4 linked regions of the Arabidopsis thaliana genome follow. The protein of the gene in region 4 interacts with the protein of the main gene of each other region in a pairwise test. Each region holds a gene or a part of one and is shown on either strand. Other genes may lie near its edges.

What was found.
Region 1: the proteins of RABA1e (region 4) and AAP5 interact in a two-hybrid assay, tested with the Arabidopsis thaliana proteins (one large-scale study listed by BioGRID).
Region 2: the proteins of RABA1e (region 4) and ABC4 interact in a two-hybrid assay, tested with the Arabidopsis thaliana proteins (one large-scale study listed by BioGRID).
Region 3: the proteins of RABA1e (region 4) and AT2G25520 interact in a two-hybrid assay, tested with the Arabidopsis thaliana proteins (one large-scale study listed by BioGRID).

The regions. Positions count from the first base shown.
Region 1 is NC_003070.9:16,763,688-16,772,292, forward strand, and holds AAP5 (amino acid permease 5), read right to left. Parts: upstream 3,999-8,605; 5' UTR 3,537-3,998; coding exon 3,449-3,536; intron 3,033-3,448; coding exon 2,799-3,032; intron 2,752-2,798; exon of another isoform or gene 2,572-2,751; intron 2,498-2,571; coding exon 2,404-2,497; intron 2,163-2,403; coding exon 1,790-2,162; intron 1,618-1,789; coding exon 964-1,617; 3' UTR 705-963; downstream 1-704. UniProt on the Arabidopsis thaliana protein: Amino acid-proton symporter. Stereospecific transporter with a broad specificity for glutamate and both neutral and basic amino acids. Reduced affinities for asparagine and valine.
Region 2 is NC_003070.9:22,322,518-22,331,162, forward strand, and holds ABC4 (UbiA prenyltransferase family protein), read right to left. Parts: upstream 4,843-8,645; 5' UTR 4,422-4,842; intron 4,253-4,421; 5' UTR 4,243-4,252; coding exon 4,153-4,242; intron 4,074-4,152; coding exon 3,849-4,073; intron 3,768-3,848; coding exon 3,664-3,767; intron 3,571-3,663; coding exon 3,499-3,570; intron 3,411-3,498; coding exon 3,272-3,410; intron 3,196-3,271; coding exon 3,089-3,195; intron 3,003-3,088; coding exon 2,903-3,002; intron 2,829-2,902; coding exon 2,790-2,828; intron 2,705-2,789; coding exon 2,594-2,704; intron 2,516-2,593; coding exon 2,450-2,515; intron 2,386-2,449; coding exon 2,290-2,385; 3' UTR 1,920-2,289; downstream 1-1,919. Other genes in the region: AT1G60610 (SBP (S-ribonuclease binding protein) family protein), read right to left, coding at 5,482-6,027, 6,104-6,471, 6,561-6,669. UniProt on the Arabidopsis thaliana protein: Involved in the synthesis of phylloquinone (vitamin K1). Catalyzes the transfer of a prenyl chain to 2-carboxy-1,4-naphthoquinone.
Region 3 is NC_003071.7:10,857,608-10,864,967, forward strand, and holds AT2G25520 (Drug/metabolite transporter superfamily protein), read left to right. Parts: upstream 1-3,060; 5' UTR 3,061-3,342; coding exon 3,343-4,386; 3' UTR 4,387-4,803; downstream 4,804-7,360. Other genes in the region: AT2G25530 (AFG1-like ATPase family protein), read left to right, coding at 5,452-5,589, 5,659-5,851, 5,917-6,053, 6,124-6,266, 6,356-6,501, 6,589-6,668, 6,742-6,999, 7,259-7,360.
Region 4 is NC_003075.7:10,180,931-10,187,959, forward strand, and holds RABA1e (RAB GTPase homolog A1E), read right to left. Parts: upstream 4,454-7,029; 5' UTR 4,294-4,453; coding exon 4,073-4,293; intron 3,406-4,072; coding exon 2,973-3,405; 3' UTR 2,741-2,972; downstream 1-2,740. Other genes in the region: AT4G18425 (transmembrane protein, putative (DUF679)), read right to left, coding at 491-1,132; AT4G18440 (L-Aspartase-like family protein), read right to left, coding at 5,455-5,673, 5,762-5,830, 5,896-5,997, 6,079-6,222, 6,312-6,428, 6,517-6,738, 6,838-7,020. UniProt on the Arabidopsis thaliana protein: Intracellular vesicle trafficking and protein transport.

The sequences.
Region 1 (8,605 bases), on a different chromosome or scaffold from region 4:
AAAAATATGTTTGAGATTCTTATTATTTATGGACCCATGAGAGCGTCATCAATACCATAAAACCAAAGAATTTTTGAAATGGAGTTATATCACATAGTTCATTCTGTTGAAGACAATGTGTATGATCTAGTTAGCTTAGGTATTTCAAACTAAAAAGACATGTTTGTCTTGTAAAAACAAAATGTGACATTGGTGTGCGTTACTCTAAATTCTTTACCGATCGACCCTAATACTACTTTGATTGCTTTGCACTTGTAGTTTAGGAAATTAAAACTATATCATCATTGGTTGAGTTATTTTTTATATTATTAAAGTTCTTGAGTATATATAAAACAAAAGAGTTGAGGTATCAAAAAGACACCAAGCATGTGATATTATTCTTAAGTACTTTCACTCATTTGATTGTATAGCTTTTGAATGTAACTAATGTTATTTATTGTGTAACTAACTGAGAATTCATCGATTGCTTTGTAAAAGAAAGATCAGAATATTTTCAGTGTCATATCATTATTCTCGATTTGCTTTTGTTAAATTTTAATTATTGTTTTGTCAAGGTAAACATTGATTATCTTATTTGTATGGCTTCATTAGGCATTGTTAGCTCAATTTTATCTAGGGGATCTTTAGTTTTGGAGAGTGTTTACAAGAAGATAAACGATTTAAGAATTTGAAGAATTTTGGAGATAAACACAAAACATCTTGTAGCTCCTTTGGTTTATAGACTTCTAAAATTAATTATAAGTATTAAATGTTTAATACATCTCTACTACCTCAAGTGTCGAAAAAGCTATCCTTATACATGACTACTTTTAATCATTGATAGTTCAATGTTGTAAGAATTCTCGGTAGAAACATGATTTATAATTGAACACTTACACAAAGTTAACTAATACAAATATGACATTAAAACATTCAATTCTAATCTTAACCCTTTTAGCAGGAGTTTATTTTTCCCGTATGATCTCAGAATTCAGACTGGAAAGGTTTGTAGACCTTGAGATCACTAACAATGCCAATAACAGATCCCGCGGCCGCGGCTACGGACACAAAAAGACATGTCACACTCAAGACTTGTAGACAAACCCACTTTGTGCCCCATCTCGGAACATTCTTCTGTGCAATGTACATTTCCACTGGGAAATAAACCGTTAAAGGCCAAAAACCAATGGCCCCCAAGAGACCGACTACATCGTTAAAGAAAGGCATTAACATTGAGATCAACGTTGTTGTCATCACGAAGAACGTCCTCCATACGAGCCTGAAGAGATTCAAGTTAAAGGGCTTCCCCGGGAAGAGTTGGATCTTGATCTCTTTTGTGACGAATTCGCTCTCTGGAAACCTCCTAGAGGCTTCCTTCTCGACGAAGGCAAAGAGGGGTTGGCAATAGACTTGGTAAGCACCGACTAGATGGATCACTATAGCGAGATTAGCAATGTCAAGCAACCAATATGGGTTTCTAAACCCTCCATGAGCGAGGAGATTTCCGGGTGCGTTATCCCCAAATGCTGCATACCCTACACAGCCACATAGCATGTAGAAGACTGTAGTCACTGCCACACTTACAAAAGTCGCTTTTCTCATCGTGTTTACTTCGGCAGGCGGTGATTTCACCGTGTCCTGGATCATCAAATCGTCTAGTTGATTAAAACATCCTTTAAACAAACTCTTATCACACAAACTCGCTTAACAAATAAACCAAACGATGCACTAGTTGTAACAACGTTATTTTTCTTTTGAATCTAACTTAACATTATTTTCAAAAAAAAAAAAACTCGCGTAACAAAAATACCTGAATTTCGATGAGAATCATCGAGTAAGAGTACGCAAACGCAATGTTGCCAAGAGACTGAAATGTTCTCCATATTTTCTGCGACGATGTCACTGTCCCACTCAGTGTCACTGTCCCAACAGTGACTCCAGTGAGACTACCTTTAATTTCTTTGTTCTCTACCACTTTAGAGACACCAAGGCCAAGTCCAATGGCAGAATAAGCAAAAGACATGACCGCAGCGACAATGGAAAGCCACCATAACTGATCAAAATCAGGAATCTGAGAGAATATGATTTGTACAATACCAAACGCAATCATGTAAACATTTCCATTAACATGACAAGGATCATTTGGTCCATTCATCTGTTGGCAACTTGTCCTTTGGATTGCTCTGTAAATTTTTTATTCAAGAAAATTAGTTAACAAGTCAAACAATAATAGAGCCGTTCTTTCGAATCTTTAATGGCACAAAACAAGACTACATTGACTAAAACACTGCATTATTGAGCCAAACATTAATGACTTGTATGGACAATATTGAATAGCAAAATAAAACACGCATCTAACTTTTTTTGGACAAATGTGAACAATTAAAATAAAAAGAGTTTTGTGAAAGCAAAGTTTTAACTTACACCAAACTTATAGCTGATGCAATTGTATATCCAATTGCTGTACCAAATAGATTAACATATTGCACAACTCCACATACTTTCACCTTAATCCCACCTAAAAATGAATCAAGAATGAATTAAGTTTTTGATGATAATAACTATTGGGATATGGAACCGATATGGAGAACCAGAGATCGACAGAGATCAACGGTTGAAATGACAAGGCCAAGATACGGCAAGAAAATATTATTCTAAAAGATAAATGTTAAACTTTCTAAACTTCAATATTAACATTTATCTTCTAGAATAATATCTTTTTGTTATATCTTGGCCTTGTCATCTCAACCGTCGATCTTCGGTTCAATATCCCAATATATGCACCAAAAAGAAACCGAAATGATTTTTTTTTTGTTTACCGAGGTTGGAGTGAATAGCGTCCATGTAAGTGTAGTTTCTTTTGCCGGTAACAGAGTCACCAGATCGGTAACAAGAACAGAGAAGGGTAGATGTGTAAAAAGTAACGAAAGAAAAGAGTAACATAGCCACTGGACCACCAATCCAACCAATCTGAGCAACGGCCCATGCCAATGACAACACTCCTGACCCAATTACTGCTGTTATTATGTGTGCACTTGCTGTCCACACCGTCCCTAAACACCAATCACATTCAAACAGAATTTTAAGACAAGAACTGTAGTAACAATAAAGTCTGTTTTGTTTAACCGTTAATTTTAAGACAACAACTGTAGTAACAATAGTGTTCATACACTTTAGTAACAAAAATCATACTTTTCCATAACATCCACACAAAAAAAGAAGTAGGAATTTGTCACCCCTTAACAAACAAAGCCTATGCATATATTTACTGTAGATGTTTTAAATTGCAAGTTCAACAGACTCCGGGTTTCGGTTTGTATCCCGAAACCCGGAATTAAAAAAATTCCGGGTTTCGGGTTCAAATCCCCGGTTATAGGAAACAGAGACTAATTTTATATTTACTTTGATTCTTGTTTGAACAGATTAGAGAAACATAAAACATAAAATTAGAGAAAAAAAGAGAAATTACCGGTTCGCTTGGGACGACCATCATCATCGAATGAATCCGAGCTATGTTTCGGAAGAACATCCAAATCTTGAACATTCTGAACGACCATCTTCTTCTTTTGGTCGACAATAAGACCAAAATTTACTAAGAAGAATCCAAACTTTACCGACAGGAAAAACGGTTGAAAAAGTTTTACTTGTTTTGTGTTTTCTCGTATAGATCTTGAATTTTTTTAAGACCAGAAGAAGAAGTGAAATCAACGATTATTCAGCGAGAAGAAGAATGATTTTGACCAAATAAAATCAACGGTGACAAGAGACCGATGTTTTCTATGGACCAGAGATTATATAATTGGAAGAGAGTGAAAGTATAGGAATTGACAAAGTAGAGATTAGAAATGCATGATAATATAAATACTGACCAAAGCTTTTGTTGTTTCACTAATTTATAAGCACCGTGGAAGACGGAGACATCCAACTTGTAAGAAGGAAGAAGCAGAGGAAACCGCATGTGCTTTTTTTTTTTTTTTTGTGAGGACTACAAAAATAGTTTATCTTTTTATGAGAAAATGGTTTCATTGTTATACATTAGTGACAACAAGTGCAAAATGTCAAATCTTATAAATTACATATAAGCTAAACAATCAAACTAAATTTTAAGATTTTTACCTTTAAAATATAGATATTTTAATTTTAAATTTTAGAAACAATGATTCATGTCCTTATAATTTAAGAGTATTTGAGTAAATCAAAGTAATTTAAGAAAATATATAATTAGAGATATAGTAGTTTTTATTATTATTGATTATTATGTTATATGTACTTTTGATGTCAAGAGAAAGTTGAAGGAAGATTTAACTTTTGAAATTCGTTATATCATTTGTAAATGAACGATTTGGTGGTATACTTATATTAATATTTTAGAATCATTTATCATAGGCATTACTCAAAAAAAACAAAATATATTTAACATGGGCATGTGTTCAACCATAATTATAAACAAATTGATAAAGTATATATTTTATTAATTTGTTATTTAAATAATTAACGTTTACCATGGACTTCTTTCGTCTATATCTAGTATATTTCTAAAAACTTTCGGTTGGTTTTGAGGAAATGAAAGTGGAAACTATGTATAGTGGTGTTTGCATGTTATGAGTTTGGTCACATTATATACTCTTTTTTGGTTGATAGGTTCTCACAAATTGAAGTTACAAAACAATGTTAAATATTCTCGATTATTTTCCATTTTATTTGTGGAGTTTTTGTATGAACATGCAAAATACACCTCGATTAGATGAAGTTTTTCAACATAACATTGCTAGAATTGCTAGGATTAATCTCAATTCTTAAAAATTCCATAAAAGCTAAACATCAAACCAAATTTTAAGATTTTTACCTTTAAAATATAGATATTTTAATTTTAAAATTTAAAAACAATGATTCATGTCCTTAATTTAATGAGTATTTGAGTAAATTAAAGTAATTATAATTAGAGATATAGTTGTTTTTTCATTATTATTGATTATTATGTTATATGTACTTTTGATGTCAAGAGAAAGTTGACGGAGGATTTAACTTTTCAAATTCCTTATATCATTTGTTTTTTTTTTGTCAACCGGAATTAATTAAACTCAAACGAACCAATTCCGAGGAATTAAAAATAAAGAGATGCTAATAAATTTTTCTTTCTCGCTCTTAAATTCTTTCAAATACACTGGAAACACCGACCATTCGGTTGGAAAATACACTGTCGTTATATCATTTCTAAAGAGTATAAATGAACGATTTGGTGGTATACTTTACTATTTTAGAATCATTTATCATAGGCAATTAGATATTATTTTGAAAAAGAAAATATATTTAAAATTTTGATGGGCAAGTTTTCAACCATAATTACAAACAAATTGATAAAGTAAATATTTTATTAATTTATTATTTAATAGTTATTTAAATAATTAACGTTTACCATGGACTTCTTTGTCTATATCTACTATGTTTCTAAAAACTTTCGGTTGGTTTGAGGAAATGAAAGTGGAAACTATGTAAAGTGGTGTTTGCCTGTTATGAGTTTGGTCATATTATATATACTCTATTTTCGTTGATAAATTCTCACAAATTGAAGTTACATAACAATGTTAAATATTCTCGATTATTTTCAATTTTATTTTTGGAGTTTTTGTATGAACATGCAAAATACACCTCAATTAGATGAAGTTTTTCAACATAACATTGATAGAATGGGTTTCACTTTTTTTAAATGCTTATTGCTGTGCAATGGTTTTCCGAAGTTTTCTGCATATATGAATTACCAAAAAATAGGAAATTTAATATAATCATTGGAACATCTAATCTATTATTTGAGTTGGAAAACATTTTGATTTTTCAGAACGATGTTGTTGGAAAACCAATAATTCATCTGAAAAGTATATTGATAGAAAAAGTTGACAAAAAAAAATATATATAGATGAAAAATAAATCAAAGTATCTGTTTTTCTTAATATATTTTTTAAAATTCATGCTTTGATATAGCTGTATTCAATGTGCAATTATATCTCGTGTTTGACACCAGATTTTGTGTCTGGAGTTAAAGCTGAGTTGCCTATATTTGGTCCACGCATTTGGGTATTCGGTTCGGTTTTAAATAGTATTAGTTCGATTAATTTTTGACAAATGTACTAAGAATTTCTGAATATTTTGGTTATGTTGGTCTAAAAATAATTAATAATTTTGGATTATAGTTGTAATTTTGGATAACTAAGAAATTTATTAATATGTTGAGTATATAATTTATATTTTGTACATTACATGACCAAGTAGGTGTTCGGTTCGATTCTGGTTCTTCAGATATAGGAGTTTGGGATTTCTTCAGATATTTTGTCTCTTTCGGGTTTAATTCGATTTTTTTTGTTGGATCGATATTAGTTCGGTTCTATTTAGATAGCATAAAAAAAATGAGATAAAATAAAATTAAATCATAATTTTGCGATTGTTTCTAAGTTGTAATAATCGTTGGAAATACCTTACATTTTAAGCTTCGATATTAAGCTACTAGATCAGTTTTGCCAATATTTTCAGATTATACCGACCAATAAGATTGACCTAACCGAGAATAACCATCTAGTCGTGTGCTCGAATAAAAACTAGATTTGAGTTGAATGATGGAACGAGATGCGGTAAGGTGTGGTAAGTTCACCATGGTTTTAGCTTTGGGAGATATTCTCCTCTTCTCCTCAAAGGTGATAAGTATCACAGTTGAATCCTGGATTCCGGTTGAGATATTGTCATCTTCTCCTTCAAGGTAATGGATTGTAAGTTAAGATTTAGAGCTTAATTTTTAACTGTAAGAATATAGGGTTTGTGGTTTATGTTTTGGTTTGATATATGGATGTACTTACCTATTAAATTGAACACCAACCATGTAAAGACACCTTAATTTATTGTGTATGTATATTTAAACTTTTAATTTACTTAAAGTTAATTTTCGGTGTTCTAGAACATGGGCTAGATGAGCATCTAGGCGTTATTAGGCGGTGAGGTAGATTTGGCGGACTATGCGGTCACTAAACAAATTAGACATTATTAGGTGGGTTTGTGCGGGTTAGGCGGATTTAAATGTGTCCTAATGTTAAAAATATATATATTTAAAATTGGGTCTAAAGACACCTATAATTTTTATATTCTACTTTCAAATGTTAAATTTCAATTCATTCTAAAAAATGTAAAAATGTTATAAATTTTCATAATGTTTTTTCAGCATCTCATATAATTATACAAATATTCTAAAACTGCCTTAAATCGCCTAGACTCCGACTAAGCATTTCTAGGCACTAGATGGAGGATTACCGTCCGTTTAGCGCATAGCGCTTTCTTGAACATTGCTAATTTTATTTTTACATATATAATTTAACAAAATCTACAAATAGAAAATAACTGAAAAGGGGGAAATCATTACAAATATGTCCAATTTTCCTGTGTATTAAATCATTTACAAGAAACAAAAATATTGGTCTAAATAAAAGCTCTTGATTCTTAACACTTAACACATTTTCTTTTGTCAACAATGATACAATATATATTATACGAACTTTAATACGACAGTATACTACAGCTTCACAAATCATTATGTTATATACTTATAGGTCATTCAAATTTTACCCATTTAAGAGTTTAAATAATACAATATGTCTTGAAAATCATAAAATGATAGTATAAAAAAAAGGAGAAGCCTTTAAGAGAAAATTGAAAAAAAAAGACTATTAATTTGAACTTTCATTATAAATTGATGGGAATGTGAGATAATACTGTGTGAATGCAGTGTCCAACAATAGAACTCTTTATTGAGGAAAAAGCCGCAACATTATTTAAATTGATTGGTGATGTTTGGAAAGATGGTGAATTGCGTACGACCATCGAAAGTTGGTCAGTAAAGTGACTTTGAATATCGATCGACTTACTCTCACTTACCATCGAGTTCAAAACTGTTGACCTTTTCAGTTTCCACCATTGAATACAAGTCAAAGTTCGATAATAATAATAATATCCCAAAAGAATTCGATAGTTCTTAAATAAATGACCAAAAAGCATGTCAAAAAGATAAAAATAAAATAATAATAATGGCCAAAAAGCTTCATACCAAAACAATGCGTAAACATTCTTAGTAATACATTTTTCAGAATCTAAGTCATACATTTTTATTCGTTTTTCAACTTATAAAAACAGAAACTGGAACAAAGCACCCTTTCTACATCCCAGTGGTCAAGTTGCCACTGCATGTAGGTTTAAGGATTTATTCTTGTAGACATACATGGCTAGCTAGTTGCAGATCTAACAAAGTATTTCGAAATTTTGTAGACAAAATTATATACTGAAGAAAAATATTGATTTGAGGGTAACGACAATTGTTAAACCGAAAAGAGTAGTATTTTATTCTATTTTGGCTAAGCAGAATAATATGTTATAATAGTACACATAATAAAAATACAAATTTATGTTTTTTTTTTGTTAAAAAAAATTACAAATTTATGTTTTATACACGATATGGCAAGTTGTCACTGAGATTACATATCCATTTTTCGATTATTTTGTGTTTGTCTAAAAATTTACAACTATAAAAATTTATTAGTATAGTGAGGGAAAAAAAATGATTCTCACTATACAATAAATATTTTACGAAGAG
Region 2 (8,645 bases), on a different chromosome or scaffold from region 4:
ATGTCCAATTCCTGGTAAAAGATCTAATAAGTTCAACATTGGAGCATGATTAAGACTAATATTTAAAAATAACTGTGTCATACAATATATATATGAAGGATGTATTAATATATGTGCATGTACATTTCTTTGATACATGTAATTGATTAGGTTAATCATATACATCCAATTTGACGGAGATAAAAAATCATAAAACATGCCATCCCATTATAGTATAGGCACCCATAAATTATACTAGCTATTTTATTGATTTTATATTTGATTGTATATATGATTTCAACTATATTAATATTACTTCTTATATCTGATATCAAAGATATATTCTCATATTTATTTCAGTCATACTAGCAATATTCCACTATATCCTTAAACCAACAAGGTTAGTGGTGCTACACAAAAAATTTTGAGGATACATTTTTCAATACAATGTTATTTTTATAGGATCTTGAAAGTCCTTTGCCGAAGACGCCGAAAAGAGATTAGTGAGCTACCAAATAGATATGGTTTATATCACTCTGAACCAAAAACAAAAAATCGCATTAGAGGAAAATATATGAACAGAAACAATTTGAAAATTTACAAAAATAGTTTATTTTTGAAGGCTGGTAATTTATTGCTAGTCTAAATTTTTATATTGAAAACTATGGAAGTATGTTTTACCTACTGTGACGGTAGGTAGGAAAAACGAATGGTGGTAAGCTTTGAAATGTGTCAGCAATGATAGATTGGGTTTGCTGGTTGCTAGATGTAGCAAAAAATTGGTGAGTCGGCGCAGTAGAACAATCCTGTACAAATATAGTTTAAAAATTGAAACAAGTATATATAGACTATATAGAGGAACACCTTTTGTATGAATAATTTGCTTAGAAGGCTGATAAGTTAAAACTATTCAAAAATAATCTACCTTGCTTGTATAGAAAACTATAGAACTTTACTTTACCTATTGTAATTGGTTATAAATCGTGTCACATGAACTAAATGTTATCAATAACTTCATATCAGTCTCCAATGAGTCAAAGTTAATAACATCATTGTTGATATGCTTCGAATCTTACCATAATTCACTTTTCCTCATATACATGTAAAACATAATTACTTAGTCTTCTATACAAGAAGTTTATATTAGTTTTGAATTACCAACCTTCAAAAGCAAACTATTGAACAATTGTCTCTATTCATTTATTCTCCTCTAATGACACTTTTTGATTTCTTGTAGATTGATCCTCCTTTAAGAGGTTAATTTTTGTTACCAAATTTTGTATTGACCAATATGTCTTTTGCGATTTTGTGTTAGACTTGTACAAATTGACAATTTTGATACTTTTGGTTTTTTGAACGATTTTGATATTCTTTGTATATTCTTTAGTTTTTTAATGTTTAGTTAGAATAATTAGAAGATGACACATATATATATATATAAAACAACAATATATACATTTCGTTAAGATTTTTAATGTTTTATATTAGTACTATATAAGTAATATTGAGATCCAAGTAATATATAATAATTTGTTGAGAAAATTAATAAAATGTAAAAAGCTTAAGAAAAATTACTAGCTTGTGGATTCTTTAGAGGATGTGAAAAGATTAGAATGAACTAGGCTTCTCGGCCATGAAGGTAATTCATAAAGCAACAACAGATCACGAGGAATCAAATTGCAATCAACAATGTCCACAATCTTCAACTTGGTCAATACCGTCAACTCATTACCATCAAAGTTATTAGAGCACACATAAAGCCTAATATATTATCATTTGAGCAGCCCATCTAAACCCGCTAATGATTTTGCTATAAAACCTAATAACATAGGCTGAATAGGCTTCTCAAATGATAATATTTTGGGGTTTTATGTGTTCTCTAATATAAATCTGGATCTCACCTTCTAATGATTTTCTTAAATGCACATGGGATCCAACTTCAGTGGTTTGGGATGGATTCAAGAATTGGAGAAAGGTCCATATCGAGAAACAATTATGTCCTACAAACACAAGCATAACCTCTTTGTTGGGCCATCTTGTGTGTTGGAAATCTGAATTACCTAACACAAACGCCGTCAACGGGCTTGCACTAAATCCGACATGGCCCATGTTTCAACATATCCATGGTGGCACCCGTCACTTTAACAATTGAGGATACAATCGCTCACCATGCTTGTGATTAATTTGAGACCTTTCACAACTGTTGTAAGTTCGAATGTTTCCTTTTAGCTACAGCATACTGTAGTGGCTAAACGTTTAGGTAGATACAACGAAGGCTAAAGAGAGAAACAAATGTTTGGTGACTGATTTCTAGCGCGCGATAACTAGCCCCAACGACAATGCGGCTCCAAGCAAGGCGTGGAGTCTCACACAGTAATACTTGGCCATGAATATCTTCCCATTATCCTGCATTAAAAGAATAGATTAGCAAAACTTTGAGTATTACAAATTTCAATTCTAAATATCTTACCTTGTGGTGCTTTTCAACGTAGCTTGAAACCAAATTCCCAACTGGTAATGTCAGGAAGCACATCAACTGAAACACCAACAACAAAAAGGAGGTTTTAATATATGTTCTTATATTTCAGTCATGTTCTCAAATCTGTTAACTTACGGTGCAAGGTAGTGGCAAAATCCTGGTTAAACCAAGAACAAGAAGCATTGAATATAGTAAACGAATAGTCCATCTCACAACAAAAGCTCCTTTTTCAGTCCCTAACCGAACCTGTGTCAACCAAAAAAAAACTCTAATCATAAACACAATCACCATATTCATATTAAACCTTGTTGAGTTTTTTTCACATTTGTACCAGAGGTGAATATTTCCCCACAGCTAAATCTCCATCCACCTATAGAATGTAAATGTAGTCAGTACTGTGTTTGTCATTTCAGGACTCATTAGACCACTTTTTCATTAACCAACCTGATGAAAGTGGCTGCAGAAAAGGATAAGAGATGTAGTAAAACCAACAAGGACAGATGATGAAAGGACCCTACCGCTTAGCGGAAGATGCCTCATCTCGCTGCCAAAACCGATTAACAAGCTTCCATTATTAACACCTCATGGAAACACGAATGGATTAGGCTTAAAACAAAATTTTGATATTACCTTGAGCTACCAAGAAGTAGATAAAAAGCAGTAGTAGCAAATGGACCAAATGCTGCAAAGCATAGAGGCTCTCCTAATCCTTGGTAACTTAACCGAAATGGCGGACACTAGTCACAAAGTATTACTCTAAGTTAGAAATCTCCTAGATTAGTATCAAATTGTCATCTAGGAAGTAACGTTCACCTGGTATACGTAGCCACAGAGTATTGCTGAGGCTAGCAATAGTATTGCACGGATATTACTTGCATTTAACGATGTCCAAACTAGACCAGAAACACCAAGCGCTAGCGATGTGATTGCAGCGGCTAAGGTTCCTGTCCGGCTTTTCCAAGTAAAACACAGTTTATTAGGATGGAACTCAAAAACATAAACTTCAAAGTTGCAAACTCTATCCTTTGATAATACTTTACCTTCCAACCAGATTTACTACTGATTCCATTTTGTTCTTATCAGCTCCGGTATCAAAATCATAAACATCATTGCTGCAAACATAAAACCATGTTTGGAAAGAGTAAATACATGAAAGAGTAAATACAGTCAACGAAAATGTTAAAAGGAATCAATCAATTAATCACCTTAGGTTGAGCCAAGTAATGATAAGAATTGATGAGAGCAATAGAGTAACATAACGTCTAGCTAAGAACAAACCCGTCTCTAAATAGGCCGCTGAAGCGCCAACCTGTGTGACATTTGAACAGTGAATATTCCCTAGCAGATAAAGGCAATGGAGGACATAGAAAGGTTTCTTGAGGAAACATACGGTAAGAGGAACTAAAGCGACAGAGTACATTGGTAGTTTGATTGCTCTCCATATCAATTTTGCTCTGGGAATCTCCTCTTCTTGGTAAACCTTTGCTGCATCTCCATAACTCTTACAAAAGATTGGCCTAACTCTAAGGTTTCTTCTTGGTTTAGCATTCAGATTCTCTCGTGCATTCGAACCAAACACCGGTAATCTAGTGATTACATCTCCTCTGCTGGGAAGCTAAGCTAAGTAATTTTAGTGACAGTACAAAGTAGATTATTGTCAAAGAACAAAGCTTTGGATGAAGTGCTAAGCCTACCTTGTGAATTTTCCGTTTCACAAACAAATCAGTTGAATTTTTGGGCACAAACCCATACTTTATGTCACAGAGAGAAACAAAATTCACCATTTTCAGGTTTCTGCATAAAACAAAAGAAAGAATTTCAGTTAACAGAGGAAGAACACTACTTCCGAGTTAAAGTCCGAGATTCTGGAACCCTATAACTAAAATCTTTGTTCTGGCATGAATCAGAGACAATGGAAAATGAGTAAGATGAAGTAAAAAAAGTATGAAGTTTGGAACTTTACCTTTTTTAACACGAATCTTTCGAAGAGAGTTAGCGACGGAAGTGGAGTCAGATCAAAACCACGACGTGATCATAACAAAATTCACTTGAGGAAAAATATTTCAACTTGGCTCGTCTACAACGAGATTTTCATGAACCCACGAATCTGGAATCTTAATTTGGAGAAGATAACGCACACAGAAGTACAGAACAAACTCATTGAACCTTATACAAAAACTGAGAGAAAAGTGCCCGAATTATGCCAATAAACAGGCAAAATTGAGTGACCAGAATCAGAATCAGAGGATTTGTGAAGGAATCTATGCAATGCAAATGTTGGGATTTCGTTATTCAGACAAGAATTTGAATGTTGGGTTTTGCGGAAGAGACGTGAATGATGAAGTGGATAACAGAAGCTCCCTCGTTGGAAGATAAAATCACGTGAGGTTCACGTGTCTTTGACCAATTTTAAATACAAGTAGAAAGGTGGGCCTTTAAGGCCCATTACTTTCGAGCCTTTGAGGGTTTGGTTGGTACAAACTACTACAAGTAAACTAGATTTGCATGATTTACAAATTAAACAATGTTGACATAATTTATAATTAAACCAAATTAATATTAATGCCAAAAATTAATATTCAGATGGGGAAATTAACTGCGTCTTTTTTATTTTTGCAAACGTAATATGATGTATATTAATATCAACTTTATTAGTATTTTTCTAACGGAAATATTGATCAAAATCCTTTACATTAAAAAAATATTGTTTTAGTACATAAATAACCTTACTTGGGAAACAAGTTTTGCAGCAAAAATATTAAGAAGAAAAAAATCAGCCAAAACAAGTTTAATAATTTCTTCTAACAATGTAATCCACAGCTTGACATATCGCACACGACACGGAACTCAATTATTATCTCGTGTTCAAAGAACGGCTGCTTAATAACTACGAAATAGCAGAATCATGCTATATAGGTTTAATGGCAAAAGCAAAGAAAGACTCGACCAAGTTTTCATTCATCACCACCATCACATACAAATATGTTCATCCACCATTTACTTTTCAAGAGTATGAAGACAACTCAGAAGAAGAAGACCTGAACGCTAGAAGTTTTCAAAGACTGGCAAACAGGACAAACACCAGTAAACACATCACAATCTTTACACAAACTCAAGTGCCTACATGGCACGAGCAAGACCGAAACATTCTTTACGTTACACAACTTACATCTCATCCCAGTACTTGGCATCCCCGGGATGTTCAAGTAATTGTAAGAAGCTGCTTCGTCATCAATCTCACTATCCCCAAACCCTTCTTTCATTTGATGATGATCAGCAACTCCTCCTCCTACTGCATTGTTGTCGTTTCCATGTGACATCACTTGTTGCAAATTTACCTTTAAGGCATTAACCACAGATTCATTGTATTTTGCTTTGTAATGCCAGTTCTGAGCTTCCACTGCCACTTGTTTTATCTTATCCACGAGTTCCCGGTTCTTCTTGTTCATGCTTTCAATCTCATGGTCTTTCTCTTGAAGCTTCTTACTCACATCCTTCTCTAAGGCCGTGACAAAGGACGTGACATGTCTCTGTTTAATATCTCTCACACCTTTCGCCATTTGATCTGCCTGTTCCAAGAGAGAACAATTTCAACGACATGGGATATGTAAGCAAAAACATACGCTTTGTAGATAAAATTAATACCCGGAATTTGATAAACTGATCAAGCTCGTCGTTCTGTCTATTGAGGTCCAATCTGATATTGTCACCGAGTGACTGATAGACTGGAGTTGTTATGCTTCCATTTGCTGAAGTTACAGAAGAGTTGCGCTCATCATCATCATAAGATAGTCTCAGACCAGTTGACACTAAGTTCTGCTTTGGGACTTCATCTTGAACAACAGTATTATTGTTGTTGTAGTTATAATTCAAAGAGATCTGCAGCTTCTGCTGTCTCTGCATAATATTGTTGTTTTCAGTTTCCCTTCCGCGTGTGCTATTAAGCCGCATCATAGGAGCAAGGTTATCATTAGCAAAGTAGTTTACAGGATCAATAGTACAACCAGCTCTCACTGCAACCACATACAAAGGAACAAGCTTTTAGCTCTATAAAGTTCTAACAACATTCAAACCAAATGAATAACAAAATTCAGAAACTTACTCGTCCCAAGCAAGTGAAGCTGATTCAACGATGTGTTTGATTGATACCGAAACTGGCTGTCGTTCATTAGAACCTGCGGCACAGGGTTATCATTGTTGCCTCCCAACATCTTCTCTAGAGCTTAACCGTTTTATGTGTATATATATACCCGTAAAGAACTGAAACAGAAAAATTACAGTAAGAAACCTGTAGACATACGAAACTAATTAGTTGTAAGATATGAAAGCTCAAATATCTTCAGCTTTTGACATGACGAGCCAAGATGTAATAAGATTTAACTGTCCTAAGCAATACAGATTACAATCCAACTAGAGACAAAGTTGAGATCTTTGAGGAAACTATGGTTCATGATCAACTCCTATGTGATGAACTTTCTTTGATCTTGCCTAGGAACCAAATTTAGAGATCATGGTCAAAGATTCATCTGAATATTAAACCAAGTAACAAAAAACAGGCAAAATAAATTATTATGTCAAAAGTGATAAAATAAGGCAAACCTCTGGAACATGGAAGAAAGATAGCAACTCCAAAGAACAAGACATAACCTAAAGATCTTGTAAGAGAGAAGCTAAGAGAAGATTTGTACCTGTTAGAGATTGCCCATAAAAAAAAATAAACCGTAGCTTCCTTCAGATCCTACAAACCTAAAAGAAATCATTATCACAGGCTCACAGCGATCCAAGTTTGCTTATTTGCATCAATTAAAGTTTAAAAAACAAAAAAAACTGTAAAATTAAGAAGTCGAAGAGAAGCTAAATCAATCAATGAATGATTCAGAATCTTAAGAAGAAGAAGATGGGTTTTGATGATAGAAACGCTTTGAAACAATAAAATCCAATAATTTAATTCAAAGATTTTAAATTTAAGGAGAAAGAAGAATAAAAGAAACGGATGGGAAAAAAGAAAGAATGAAATGAATGATGGAAAGGTGAGAAATCAGCAGAGGACAGGACACAGTTGTGAAGGAGTGGGAGGAGTTGGGTGGCAAAGTCGAGATATTAAAAACAAAACAAAAACTTGAAAAATAGACTCGAAAATAATACTAACATTTTTTTTTTGGGAGATGATGATAACAAGAATAGTAATAGTAACCGGTGGCGGTGGTATTGGTTCTGCTGATTTCCCCGTGAGTTGTGCCTTCTCTCTGGTGTGACGCCATTTTACTCTACTTTTCTCCATTTTCCCTCTGTCCTTTTTCTCCTTTTCTATTTTTTTCTTCCTGACCAGTTCAATTCTTCTTCTTCTTTTTTTAAATAAAGAAGAGTTCAAACTTTTAAAATGGGCAACACTAATTTGTTTGCTAATTTACGATAGGGACCCAATGTATGGTCGTCCGGTTTAGTCTTTTTGTTTTTTATTAGACTAAACTAAATTTGAAATCACATGTGGTTTGTTATTTATCTACTTTCGTGTTTGAGTTGATTGGAACTAGTTTTGGTTTTAGTTTTGTTTAGTTTCTTGGCTCATTCTTCTGGTTATCTTGGTATGCTATAATAAAAAAAATACTGGAGTGAGAACCTTCACCATTATGGGTTTGAACTGCCATAACTAAATTTGGAGAATATGATTATTCAGATCGGGTTTGTTTAGAAATCGACATTTCTACTTATATTTGGAAAAGTTATATAGTAGAAAATCAAACAAAATGTCGAATGTTATATTTCTCGTTTCATGATTTTCTATATATCTCATTTGTTTAATTATAAGACAGATTGTTTAGTTCGTTCTTTTCGTTTACTGTTTTCTCAAATTTGTTTTGTAGATTTTTTTTCCATATTCGGCGACCAATCATATAATTATCTTTTAACTAATATGTGGTTAATTAAAAAATAAAAAAATGTCGATTTGGTTCGGACTTAAGATTAGAATTTCGGTTTGGTGGTAACGAAAATTTTAAAAGTCAGAAATCAACCAAACTCCGGTTGGACGGTTCAGCCGCTTCGGTTCGGACTTAAGCCATGCCGCTATTAGAAAAATGGATGTTTTTTTTTCTAGTATTCACACGTGTCCATAAACCCTAATTTTCCAGTTTTATGAAATTGAAGAACGAAATTGAAGTGAAAAGTGAAATCGTGCAATTTTCAT
Region 3 (7,360 bases), on a different chromosome or scaffold from region 4:
AAGTTGGGATTTTAAAAAAAATATCATCTTCTTAACACTTTTATATATGTATATTATAAGATAAAGGTTAAAATATAAGATATTTGTTGGTGCAGTAGAAAGAAAAAAAAAATGTGCAAATAAAATTAATTTTTGTTTTTTTAGAGAAATGATTATTGGTAAGTAAATAAATTAATACTCTTATTTTGGGCCTTTCGGGACTTATTTTTTTACTATTCGAGGGTCCTAAGTCATTTGGCTGCCGACCTGCTAAATATGGGAAAGGATCCTCCCTTCTTATTTCTCATCATACTAATCTCATAAGATATAAAATTTACTCACTCAATGATTTGTGTCCATATATACTAAGTTGTTTGCAATTTAGACTTATTCAAAGTATTCACGAAATACGAACTCATAATGTCGAAAAGTAAAAATCAAAATATTGATAATGCTAGACAACATAAATCAACACATGGCTACCAACAAAAAAAAAAAAGACCTATATGGATATTATTAAAAAATAACAAATATATTGTGTCACGACAAATAATTTCAATACATACATACAATTTAACAAAGTTGCATTAAAAAAAAAACCCAGTGGTTTGGCGCGAGTTTCGCCCTAGTATACCTAATTTGTATAGCATCTAAGTAAATTTTCCTTATTAATATGAAAATTTTGACAAAAAAAAAAACAGAGGGCTATAATTTTGGGCATATTAATTACTAATTTTGGTCATTATTAATATTTTTGGAAAAAATTTTATCCAACATAGGATAGTTTATATAGCCAAAGTATTTTGTTTATTTTCAAAATCTTTTTTTTTTTTTTTTCAAAATCTCATTAATATAAAACTCAAATAAAGTTATATAAACTGACAATATTAATTGTTAACAGTAAAAAAGAAAAGAAAAATGGAAGAACCGCACATAACAAGTTAGAAACACTAAAAAATATATGTACAGATCATTCATTTTGTCACAAAACTGAACAACATGTGGTTCATATAATTTTTTTATATTTAAATATAAGAAACAAGCTTTTGTTAATAAAATGACGAATGGAGAAGAAGAATATACGGTTCCTCCACATTAGCAATAGAACCATACTGTCTCCACTCTTCCATTGAAGGTAAAAAAATGTAATGGGCTCTCTCTCTAAAGAACGGTTTTTCTGGCAGAGTTCCGTCTAAGTTTCCAGTTGAATCCGGCTTTGGTATCTGGCTTATGACACGACTAATTCAGTATCTTATTTTTGTTATTTATATGAATAATGTCCACGGTTTTAATTATGGGGATGCCACTTTATACGGTGATTCGTTTAGGTGAAGGTTTTACTTCTGCTTGTACTATTGGGTCCGCGGTTGATAAATACTATCAGATATGATTGCATACTTGCATGTAACTGATAAAAATAATATTTGTTACTTTACGTATTTTGAATTACCAATTAGCCTGTATTTCAAGTAACCAGAACTACTAGTTACTAAGCAAGCAGTTGTGCACTTATTAGATCATAATAATAATAAGTACTCAATAACTAAAATCACCTTAAAACGGAAATTAAAAAAATGATCGACTTTGATGTTATCATATCCGCCACTTTTGTTTCGTTCTCTCGGGCTGAATCGTTTGTTTCGTTCTCTCTATCGTTACTAGCTCTCTGTTTCTTGTTTTGTCTCTATTCATTAACTTTGCTTCCCTTATTAGTAATTATAATTTATAAATTCTAAATGATGTCTCTGTAAAAGAGAAACAAAGTAGATAAATATTAAGGGAGAAATGTAAATGTAACTGCATAATCGGTTTGCTACAAACTTATTTTTCCCTCCTAAAATGTTTCTTTTCTTTCTTTGCAAAAGATTCATTCGCTATATGCCTGTATTGGTTAAACATTAGTAGAAGTATTTTTGCAATTGGCGTGCAGAACATGGGAAGTTAGTAGCTACTTTATATATGGCCACATGACTTCCTCGCACGTCACGTAATCGGTGAAATGCTGTCCATGTGACAGTCAGACTCTTCGTAAAACAAATGTTCCGAAAGTAGTAACTACGGATAATTTATTTATTTTTGCAAACGTTACTGTAGTTACAAAATAAATAATGTTCCTTTGTAACTTTGGCGTGGGATTTCCAAAAAGTCTCTTGTCACATGAAACGGTTTTGAAAAATTTATAATCTCACTTTGAATTTGGTATATGTATTCAGACGAATGATAAGATACCAAATTATTTTAGTCGTTTTAATTTATAGATTTATTACTAACTTTTTTTTTTGTAAATTTAAACTTTCAGATTAGGCAACACCAAATAAATGATATATTTAATAGAAAATGTATGGTCGAAAAAAAATATTGTAATGTCTCTACACCAGAAGCTTTTGTTTTGACTTTTGAGTGTTTGAATCATTTGAAGTTTTGAACAGAATAATTCCACAATCAAAACCAAATAATATTTTATCAGGCGAGCGAAAGACAAGATTTTGACAGGTATTTGTACAAGTACTGAGTCGGTCAACAAACCCCGTCTGGACTCTGGACCCGAAGTAACCCAACAAACGTTGCGACAACTACATTAGCACCACCACCAAGGCACCAATAATGCAACGTAAGAGGGACGCAGCAAAACTGTCGCGATGTGAGATTCACGCGCTCTAATTTAAACGTTGACTCTTTGTTTCATCGTTACTCTCTCCCATTTATTTACTTCGCATACTCTCTTCGTTACAAGTTTCCATTTAATTACTCTTAAGTCTCTAACTAATAGCTTTAGGGATTCGTCATTAATTTAAGGCAACGTAAACTTAAAGAGTTTCGACTAAAAGCCGTTTCAGGAAACATACATCATCACATACTTTATCTAAATAACTGGCTTATTAATTTTATAACAAAAATGACGTTATTTAGTGTTAAGATATACAAATATTTAATTTTTACTAAATTAGTTAAGGTAAAATTGTGTTCCTTTCTGTGAGTTTTCCGCAATATTAAAAAACCCTAGAGAAATTAACAAAACGTAATTGACTAAAAAAAGAGTTCAAAACAAAACATTTGTTACATTTATTTCATAATTTAAAGACTAAGTATAAATCCACTAGAAAACAGATGATTAAAAATGCGGGTCCCACAATACGCCAATCGTCAAATAATCGCGCACCTTTTCGCCACGTAGCATAACAAAGTCACGTAAGCCCTTCCTCTACATTACAAGACCAAACTCAAAGTCTCTTTCTCCCCCAAACCCAAAAACATTGACCCAAAGAGAGAGAGACTTCTATCGTGCGCACCTCTCTCTCTTAATCCTTTATCCTGCGCACCACCACCACCATCTTCTTCTCCGGCGAAAACAAACCCACCGCCATGGGGAAAGGTCGTGCACTTTCCGACGGAGTGATCAAAAAGATCATCCTTTCATACACCTATGTCGCAATCTGGATCTTCCTCAGCTTCACAGTCATCGTCTACAACAAATACATCCTCGACAAGAAGATGTATAATTGGCCATTCCCAATAACTCTCACCATGATCCACATGGGTTTTTGCTCTTCCTTAGCTGTGATTCTCATCAAAGTCTTCAAAGTCGTCGAGCCTGTTTCAATGTCACGCGAGACTTATCTCAGATCCGTCGTACCAATCGGCGCGTTGTACTCACTTTCTCTCTGGTTATCAAACTCTGCTTACATCTACCTCTCTGTTTCCTTCATTCAAATGCTCAAAGCCCTAATGCCTGTAGCAGTTTACTCAATCGGGGTTTTGTTGAAGAAAGAGACTTTCAAATCTCAGACTATGACTAACATGCTTTCGATCTCGTTTGGTGTTGCTATTGCTGCTTATGGTGAAGCTAAGTTTGATGGTTGGGGTGTTTTTCTTCAGCTTGGTGCTGTTGCTTTTGAAGCCACTAGGTTGGTTTTGATTCAGATCTTGCTTACTTCTAAAGGAATCAATCTAAATCCAATCACTTCTCTCTATTACGTTGCTCCTTGTTGTTTGGTTTTCCTCTCTGTTCCTTGGATCTTTGTGGAGTTTCCAGTTCTTAGAGATACTTCGAGTTTCCATTTCGATTTCGTGATCTTTGGAACCAATTCTGTTTGTGCGTTTGCTTTGAATCTTGCTGTGTTCTTGCTCGTTGGGAAAACCTCTGCTTTGACTATGAATGTGGCTGGTGTGGTTAAGGATTGGCTCTTGATTGCATTCTCGTGGTCGGTGATTAAGGACACGGTCACACCTATCAATCTGTTTGGTTATGGACTTGCCTTTTTGGGTGTTGGATATTACAATCACTGCAAGTTACAGGCGTTGAAGGCTAAAGATGCACAGAAGAAGGTTCAGGCAAGTGATGACGAAGCTGGGAAGCTTTTGGAAGAGAGGGAAAGTGAAGCTAAACGCAACGAAACCCAAGATTGATCTGTTCTGATTCAAGAATGCAATTTCAGGAAATAAGAGCTTCAAGGTTAGAATGATTTGGGAAGATGGATTTTGCATTTTCATAGGTATGATTATCATTGTCGGTGTTCGTTCGTCTACGTTTTAGTTTTGCGATTATATTTTTAAGTTATGGCTGATTATATTACATAGTGATGGATGGGTGTTTAATTAGAGGTTCATGAATCTTTTGAACTCCATTGTATCTTCTTCTTTTGAGTTGTATTTTGTTTCTTACTTCCTCATGAATCTATCTTTGTGGGTAACAATTGTTTTAGTAGTACTTCTTTATATTTTTTCCCTCCATTGAGATTGTTAAATGTCAAATTGAAAGTCCCTTTTACGTCTCTCTTTATCCAATGAAACCGTTGTATGTTGGAAGGCACAAGAAGATGGTCAACACCAAAAACTTTTTGATATTTTATGGGTTATGTAGGATCATTTAGTAGCAAGATCCACAATTTAAGGAAATAAACAAAATACCCATACCGACGTTCCCTTGCAATAATATGACACATGACACCATCATATGAATACAATGGTCTCATTTAACCTCTACAAATATCCTTCCTTTAGTCTCAACAAGTTTCTGTCCTGAGTAAAGGGACAGGCCAAATAGGTGTTAGATACCAAACTAAAAACATTCAAACAGGCTCACGGGTTATGGATTTCTCATCAGCGAATATTTGGGAACTTTTAACACAATTCGGATCTACTCTCGCTTGGCATAAAAGCTGTTTTGTTCCAGAACAGAATTCATAAGCATGCATTGGTGCTTGGTTTGTCACTTTGTGAAATGTGACTTTGAATAGCCATCCTACCTCTTGGCAGAATTGTTTTTGGATTTGGGTTATATCCTATCAAATTCCAAAACTTAACAAACCAGTTTTGTTTGATTTCAACTGGAATCTTATAACTAGCTCATAGTTCCTACATATCTTTTTTTTGTTTGAATCTACTACATATCAGGCAGTAGTATTCTAGACTCGGACGAAACTTTATTAGTCCAAATTAGGCTGCACCAAACGAAATGCAGATACATCATACATGTCACGGACCGGACCACATCGGGTTTGGCAGATTTGGCATCCTAGTTTTGACATCTCTACCAAACCCACTAAAGAAATCTACACGGACACTAATAAGCCAAATCAGCAATACGACAAACGGTCCATATTCCACCACGTGGCTCTCTTATAGTTCGTCACGTCGACACCTATTAATACCGTTCTAAATTCTTCTCCGGAACAGTAGCTAAACCGTGATCGTAAAGCTAGTCTCCAGAGAAGAAACCACAATCGGAGTCTGAAGCAACAAATTATGCCTAATGTTTCTCAGATCTCTACTGTTCTACGTCTAGCGTTTTCTTGTAAAAGAAGACTCTCCAATGGCTTACACTTCGTTGCTCGTTCCTATTCCACCTCTGATCCTCCCAAACAACCATCAGGTACTTTCAGAATCTTCAATTCGTTGAGAATTATGCAATTGAGATTAATGTCGCTCCTTTATCAGGTCCACTGACGAATTACTCTAAGTTAGTGGAGCAAGGGAGGTTACAACATGATCCATACCAAGAGAAAGTTGTTTCGGCATTCGAAAATTTGTTTGGAAGATTGGAACATTTCGAGAAGCAAATGGAGGATTATCATGTAAATTGCAAATAGTGTAACAATTTGGTTCAATTGTTTGCATATAGATGTGTAACATTTCGGTGTTTAGGTGAGATTAGCAGAGTGGGAGAAGAAGAGAGAGGAGGAACGAAGAAAGCTAATGGTGGAAGAAGCTGAGAAGAAGGAAGATGATGGAATGTGGGCATCTGTGAATAAGCAGGGACAAAAGCTTTTGGGAAGATGGGTATTAGGGTGAGGTTTTTGTCAATGGCTTCTTTTTTTAGTTGAATATTTGTTTGTTAGTTTTTTCAAATGGTTTTGTTTTCTTTCGTGTGTTTTAGGCGGAGACAGATGAATGTAGAACCTGGAGTTGGTAAATGGGTATCGTACCTTAACCGAGAGAGAAAATTGGACTCGATTGTCGGTTCTCGTCCCGCGGTACCACCAGCTCCAAAAGGATTATATATCTATGGAAATGTAGGATGTGGTATGTTAATGGATGCTACATTATGATCTTACCGTGTAGCTAATATGGTTAGGTATTTAAGACAATGTTTGGTGTGTTTTCATGTAGGCAAGACTATGTTGATGGATATGTTTTATGGTGCTACTGATGGGATCATTAGACATAGACAACGGTTTCACTTTCATGAGGTGAGTGAGCCTTTAGCGGTTCTTCTTTCAAATTAATTCAAACTCAATATATTTTCCATTTCTTTCTTTGTAGGCTATGCTGAAGATAAATGAACAAATGCACAAGTATTGGAAGGAGAATGGTGCTGAGAAGCCAATGCAATATAGCATTTCGAGCTGGATTATGAATCTTCCTGTTGATGAAAAAGTTAAGGAATGGCTAGCAGGAGAAGAATTTTATAAGCAGCAACTCCAAATGAAACACATTCTTCCAGCTGTGGCTGATAAGTTTCTCGTTGATCAGCAATCGAGTAAAAAAGGAGCTAGCATCCTCTGCTTTGATGAGATTCAGGTAACTGTATATATGGAATTAGAAAAGAAACTATAGCATATAATTCATTCTTCTAAGCATATATATTGATTATGAGATAGTTATTAAGTGATAAAAACTAGGCTCGCTAATTGCTTATCACTCAAAAAGTCATAAAGCCAATTCAGTGTTCTACGAGGGCTTAGATGAGACTGGACTTGCTTAGTTTTGGTCTCATATGCCATTGCAAATAGTGTTCAATCTTCCCATAACTTGGAATTTCTTGCATCTTCTGTTACAGACAGTTGATGTATTTGCTATTGTGGCCTTATCTGGAATTATGAGCAGATTGTTGACTACTGGAACTGTTCTTGTGGCCACCAGTAACCGAGCACCACGGGAG
Region 4 (7,029 bases):
ATCATTCTAAGAATCGAATGTTACCATAATCTAAATTACCTTTATTTTTTGAATAAAGTCCAAAACAGTAATTTTTAAAGTTTTTTGTAACATTTTTGAATGGGCTTATAGTTTTTTTAACATTTTTTTATTAAACGAGATATTATTTAAGTTAACTTTTTTTTTTGGAAAATTTCCAAAACAGTAATTTTTAAACTTACAGTTTTTTGATGATTTTTATTCAACGAGGTATTATTTGGAAAACGGTTCATGTATTTTTTTTGTCCACAAGAAAAAAGAAGACGTATTTGTTTTTGGATATTTCCGGATAAAACTCATTGTCATACAAGTAATATTAATACATATTCACCATAAATAGTTCACATGGTTTTTGGAACAGTCTATTTCAAGAGATCATCAAAAAAGAATGTTGAACCACAAGTTATATATAAAAAACAACCTTACAAATAATAATAACATATTGATATTAAAAAAAAACAGCATATTGATATCATTTACTAGAAAGTGGAAAACCAATCCCATTGCGTGTTGTAGGAAATGTTGCAAACAACATACTAGAAAACACCCCTACGCCTACCGGCAAAGCTGTAAGAACTTCCAATGCTTCTGCTGACGGTGATGGAAAGAAACAATTTACCGCATTTCGATCGAATAAAACCACCGCACCAAACACGAATAACGACATGAAAGCATGAACAAAATCTATAAATCTTAGCTTATATCTCTTAGATAACTCTTGAGGAAGAGTTGTGGATCCATCAATGATCCAAAACCCATGGATTGTTGCAAGTCCATAGCAAATAGTACCGTTTTTGTCTTTGTAAGAATCTGTGAAGCTAAGTATGAAGCAAGAGAATCCACATATTGCTACCAGTGTCGATGTCATTATCTTGCTCACTAAATCGCATTGACCGCCATTTGAGAAAATTGGCGATAGAAGCTGAAACGCGAGAACGGTTCCTGTTGGTAAGAGATTAGCTAAATGAGCAGTGGTTTGAAATGTTTGACCTATTGCCTTTTGTATCCATGTCGTTCTTTCTATATCCGGGAAGTCTTTGTCTTCTTCAAGAAGTGGCCTTGTAATGTCTTCTTTAGTACCTTTTTGATGACCTTCGTCAACTTTGATCTCCATATCTTTGAAGTTGTTTCCTTTGTCCCTCTGTTTTTCTCTGATTTTAGGAATTGATTTGATGTAAGAAGGAATGATGATGATTGATGAAATCTAAAGTAGAGGTATATATAATAGAGCGAGGCGAGAGAAAAGAGGCTTTACACATTTCTTATGCCTTGCAAGTAACCTTTGAGACCAAACCAAAGTCTTTGTTTAAGTGAAGCATGTTCTTTGCACACTCTTCTTTATTTAAGAGAGGATTATAAATATTATTATATTTTACGTCTCTATTTTGATACGTTTTAGAATCCTCTTTTCTTTCAAGGTTTCTATAAAGTTTCGTGACATTTCTGAGTCGTTACCAAATCTTTTAATTTTTGTTTTTATTTTTGTTTTGATGGTTTATTTTTATTTGTTCATATACCTAAATCAATGTCGTAAATGTTATCAATATCCTAGTGGGATTATTCTTGAGACCGTGTCATTTGTCAATGACAAAGAGGGTCGTATAACATCAGCTATAAATCGACCCTTTCAATTTAATAACTTGGATCTTGAATTCTCGATCATATTTTCTCACTTTTAAAGTGGATATTAAGAATCTTTTGATTATCTCGTTAATTTTTAAATATGACTAATCCATCCATTGTGGAGGTCAAGTAACGTCTAACAAATAGATAATTAATTTTTGGATAAACATATATGTTTAACGTAAAGTGCTTAGTCAACCAACCACGAATTTTCGTTTCTTTCACCTTTATGCATGGTTCCTTTTTAAGGAATTTTTGTGTAGTTATTAGTTGGCATTATTTTAAGTTAACTAACGTTAGTTAATACGAATCCTCACACGTTACACATTTTGCTATAATATATCCAAAAAATATTTTCAAAGAGTCTTACAATCAAGAGATTTAAAGAGGTGTTTCACTATTTGACGCAATTCTTAATTTTTGAAGTAGTTAAAATTTTGAATCTCCGGTTTCGTATTCACATGATGCTTAGTTTTTCTATTTTGCTGCATTGTTCTCATTTCTTCAGTACTAAAAAGTAAAAATGATCATAATTCATGATTTAGTTTATAAGAAATATAATAATATTCGCATGAATAATTATGATGATTGTCAAGTGTACGAAACAATAAACATCCTTAGACTTGGAAGGAAAGGTGTTCTCATAATTTGGACGGTGGACCTAACTTGCTTCCGTGTGGAATAAGTTATACATATCTTCCTCTTCTTCTCTTTGGTTTTTGGTAAATTATTTCAATTATTTCTAAAGTTTGGTAAGTTAATTTTTTTTTTGTTACGTTTAATTTCCTTTTTATATATATTGATGCGATATGTTTACTAATAGATATTTTAAACATGTACCTGCGCTGGTTCGAACTCAAAAACCCTAAGAAAAAAACTAGCCGATGCTATTTAGTTGTATAGAAAAGCTATTTTCTTGGACGCTAATAATCTTTCGATTAGATACGATAAAATGTTCATATCATAATTCACATTACTAATAAGTTTATCAGATTCTCGCTTTGTTAGCACCAGACTTTTGGTATCGATTCAAGTCGGCTACTCATGTCCTAAAGAGAAATCATAACTAAATCTTACACCAAAAGCTAAGATTATGGTTGTTTGATAGTTCCCTTTTTGGGATCATATATGTTTGATCAGTTCGGTATTAGTAAACTATCTTATTAACCGGACCAAGTCTTGTTCAATTCAATACAATTCTTCGGTTTGTATTATAAAACAAACCGGTCTCATAACCTTAAAATGAAGCCCCCAAAAATAGTCCAATACAACAAAACCAAAGCCAAAGCCTTCTTCCAAAAAGACAGTTTACAAAAACAAAAACAATAATCTCAACCTGAGCAACAACCAGAAGATTTAACAGCAGTAACATCATCCTTATTTCCGATATCAATGGTTTGTCCTTTAGGTAAAGACATCGGATCTCCAGTACCATCAAGAGCTTTACGGCTCATTACACGATAGATTTGAGTCAAGACATGAGTGAAAGCTTGTTCGACATTTGTAGCATCCAAAGCAGAAGTCTCCATGAAAAACATGTTTTCTCTTTCAGAGAATGATCTAGCTTCTTCTGTGGGAACTGCACGAAGGTGACGAAGATCGGCTTTGTTTCCAACAAGCATGATTACAACGTTGGCATCGGTATGGTCACGAAGCTCCTTGAGCCATCTTTCAACGTTTTCGAACGTTATGTGTCGAGTTATGTCGTATACTAGAAGTGCCCCCACTGCTCCTCTGTAGTATGCACTCGTGATTGCTCTGTATCTGTATAACAAATAAGTCGCTATTACTCAAAAACAGAGCATATAGAGAAGAAAGAGAGCATAGGAGTGGGAGATCGGTTTACGGTTGGTTAGTTTCGGCTATTGATTATATCGGTTAATAGAAATTAAAACCAAATAAAATAATTTGTAATCTGGTTTATTTTCCAATTTGTTCTTGATTTGAATTAAGTTATATTTGGTTCCTTTTAGCAAAAAAAACTTTTTACCAAGAAAGTTATATTTGGTTAATCTATAGAAATTGATTATTAAAATAAAATCATTATCTAGTCAAATATTATATCAGTGCAATATACTTATTCCAATTTTCCATACATATACATAATTAAAAGTATATTATATTTATAAAAAAAATCGAAATTGATAATTGAAATAAATCATGATCTAGTTAATATTATATTAATGTAACATAACTATTTCAATTTAATTTCCATAGAGATACATAATCAAAAGTAGAGGATTTCTAAAAAAATGCGGTTTATTTGGTTACACTAAATCAGTTTATATTGGTTTCAAAATAGTAAAACAAACAAATTTGTAAAATTATCCAGTTTGATTTTTGTTCAACCATTTCGGTTTGGTTTGGTTCAAAGAATGAAACAAAACAGAACATATAGAGATAAAACAGTGAAATTTCGAGGATTTATTACCTTTCTTGACCAGCGGTGTCCCAAAGCTGAGCTTTGATGATTTTTTCGTCGACATGAACACTTCTTGTGGCGAACTCGACACCGATGGTTGACTTTGACTCGATGCTGAATTCGTTTCTGGTGAAGCGAGACAAAAGATTGGATTTTCCGACGCCGGAATCTCCAATCAAGACTAGTTTGAAGAGATAATCGTAGTCGTCGTCGGCTCTGTAGGCTCCCATTATTAAGGTATTTGATAGAAGTTACAAAATCGTAAAGAAGAATTCAGAGAGATGTTGCAATATGATCTAATGAAATGAATGATGTGTTGTTGTGTTTTGTAATGAAATGAAATTATGGGTAGTGGGTAACGACGAAAGGGCTTATTGGTTTTGGTAGTGTTATAAAAATAAGAATAATATTAGGATTCAATCATTTGTTATTATTATATGCATGACTTAGCATATGTATATGTTTTGAAAGTCGTTGGAAAGATTAGAGAACAAACATGTTTGACGAAATCTTCGGGTTTATGGCCGCCATGAACTTGGTAAACGCAGAACAATATACACTTGCAGGAAAAAACAATATTATTATGTCTTCAATTCAATAATTCAATTTATAGCTTTTCTCAAATAAAATCACAGGGAAATTTGTTCATAAATAAAATTATAGCAATGTGTAGGAAGATATCTAGGTAAAAGATTTTTTATGGTATATTGTCATGAAATTTTCCATTTCTATTTTTAACTTCTAAGGATTTTTTTTATATGACACTAAATATAGTGTAGAGTTGAGATTATTGTTGGACACATGTACTAGACTTTTAGTAATAGATCAAGTCTAAAGGAAACTAGTAAGTTTGTTTTTGAGATAGATCTTATATTATTTATTTTAGACCTAAAAGGCTAAAACATTTGTGTTCATGTAAATGTTAGCAATAAATAGAAGAATTACTTAAAGCTCTTAATTGACAAACAACATTTTAACATTATTATTTCTCAGTTTTGTTTCTGTGGACAATTTATTTGACTACTATATGCATATATATTTGCTAGATTTTGATACCTACATAACACTTGGTTATAAAGAAAAACAAAAACCACTCAAATTGAATTTCAACTTGAGAACTCTTTATTATTTGACACCAATGTGTATATGACCTATTTTATTACAATAATTTGTATTGGTTCGAGAATCATTGACCACAGCTTATAGCTCAAGACTTAGATAAAACACAGACACTCAAAGAGGAAACATAACACAACAATGGTACAAGATTTTTCTTAACATTTTAAACGACGACTTGCAAGTCACCGACCTATAAATTGTCTCTGTTTTCCACCAATTTCGAAAAGAATACCATAATAAAAGAGGACAATCTATCACCACTTTGATCATCATCAATGTCCCAAGTGCAGAGCTTCATCCACGGCCAGTGCCAATGCAGCAGCAGCACCAACATATGTGTGTGGAGTTAGCTCCAGAAGTTGGTCTTTTGCTTCTGAAGGCAATTCCAAACCTTTGATAAACGTTCTTATGGTTTCTTCATTCACAGCTTTTCCTCTTGTTAGCTCCTTCAGCTTCTCATACGGCTCAGGGACACCGTATCTCCTCATCACCTTTATTTGATACCATAATACTTCTGTGGATTAGAGATACATCAAATATCTTGATTGATATAGAAGATTAGAAACTCGAGAAATTTACAGTTTGTATTGGTTCAGCAAGGACTTCCCAATTATCATCCAAATCTTCTTTTAACCGAGCTTCATTAACCTATATCAAGAACATTCTTAGTTTGTGACAAGTGGAAACATTTCTTAGGGCTACGGTAATAATACCTGAAGCTTCCCGATTCCCTGTATCGCACTCTTGTAAGCGAGAAGAGAGTGTCCTAAAGCTCCACCCATGTTTCTCAAGACAGTTGAATCAGTTAAATCACGCTGCAGATTGTACATTTTTCAGGCTTAGTTTACTTCCATCACTCTAGCTGAGATACATAGAATATGGAGAAATGTTAAAACCTGCATGCGTGAAATGGGAAGCTTCATGCTGAGAAAAGTAAGCTCTGCGTTTGCTTTCCCTAGATTCCCTTCGCTGTTCTCAAAGTCAATAGGATTCACTTTGTGAGGCATTGTCGACGATCCAATTTCACCCGCTTTAGTTGTCTGCAAAATCTCAAACAATGAGACGATTTTCCCATTCAGATTCAAATGATTTGACATCTTTTTTTTTCCTTTCTTATATTAACACTTGCCTGCTTAAAGTACCCTAGAGATATGTAGCTCCATATATCTCTGTCAAAATCAATTAAAATAGTGTTGAACTGGCTGATATTATTAAAAAGTCTAGCCATATAGTCATGAGGTTCAATCTGCAAAAAAAATACACACAGAACAATCAATCAGCGATGATCTTTATGAATTTGAATAGGATTGTTTGATCAATATAAACTATATTACCTGAGTCACGTATGGGTTGAATGTTAATCCAAGAGAAGTAACAAACTCCTCGGAAACATGAGGCCAGTCAATATTCGAATATGCGGAAATATGGGCGTTGTAGTTCCCAACAGCACCTGCAAATTTCCCCTTAATCTTAGTTTCTGAAAGATATCTCCTTTCTTCGCTTAACCTCACAGCAAAATTCGCCATTTCTTTCCCCAAAGTTGTTGGCGTAGCTGGCTGCATTACAATTCATAGTAAACAAAATCATTAGTAAAGAGATAGATACAGATAAATAGGGAAAGGTAAAATGGTGAAGGTCTTCTCTTTGGACATTACCTGCCCATGAGTTCGTGAAAGCATGGGGACATAAGCAAAGTTCTTAGCTATCAGAGAGATTGACTTGATCAGCTCATCCATGGTAGGAAGTATAACCGAACTAAGTGCTTCTTGAAGCATCAAAGCATGGGAAAGATTGTTGATGTCCTCAGACGTGCAAGCGAAATGGAAAAACTCAAGAACCTAACTCAG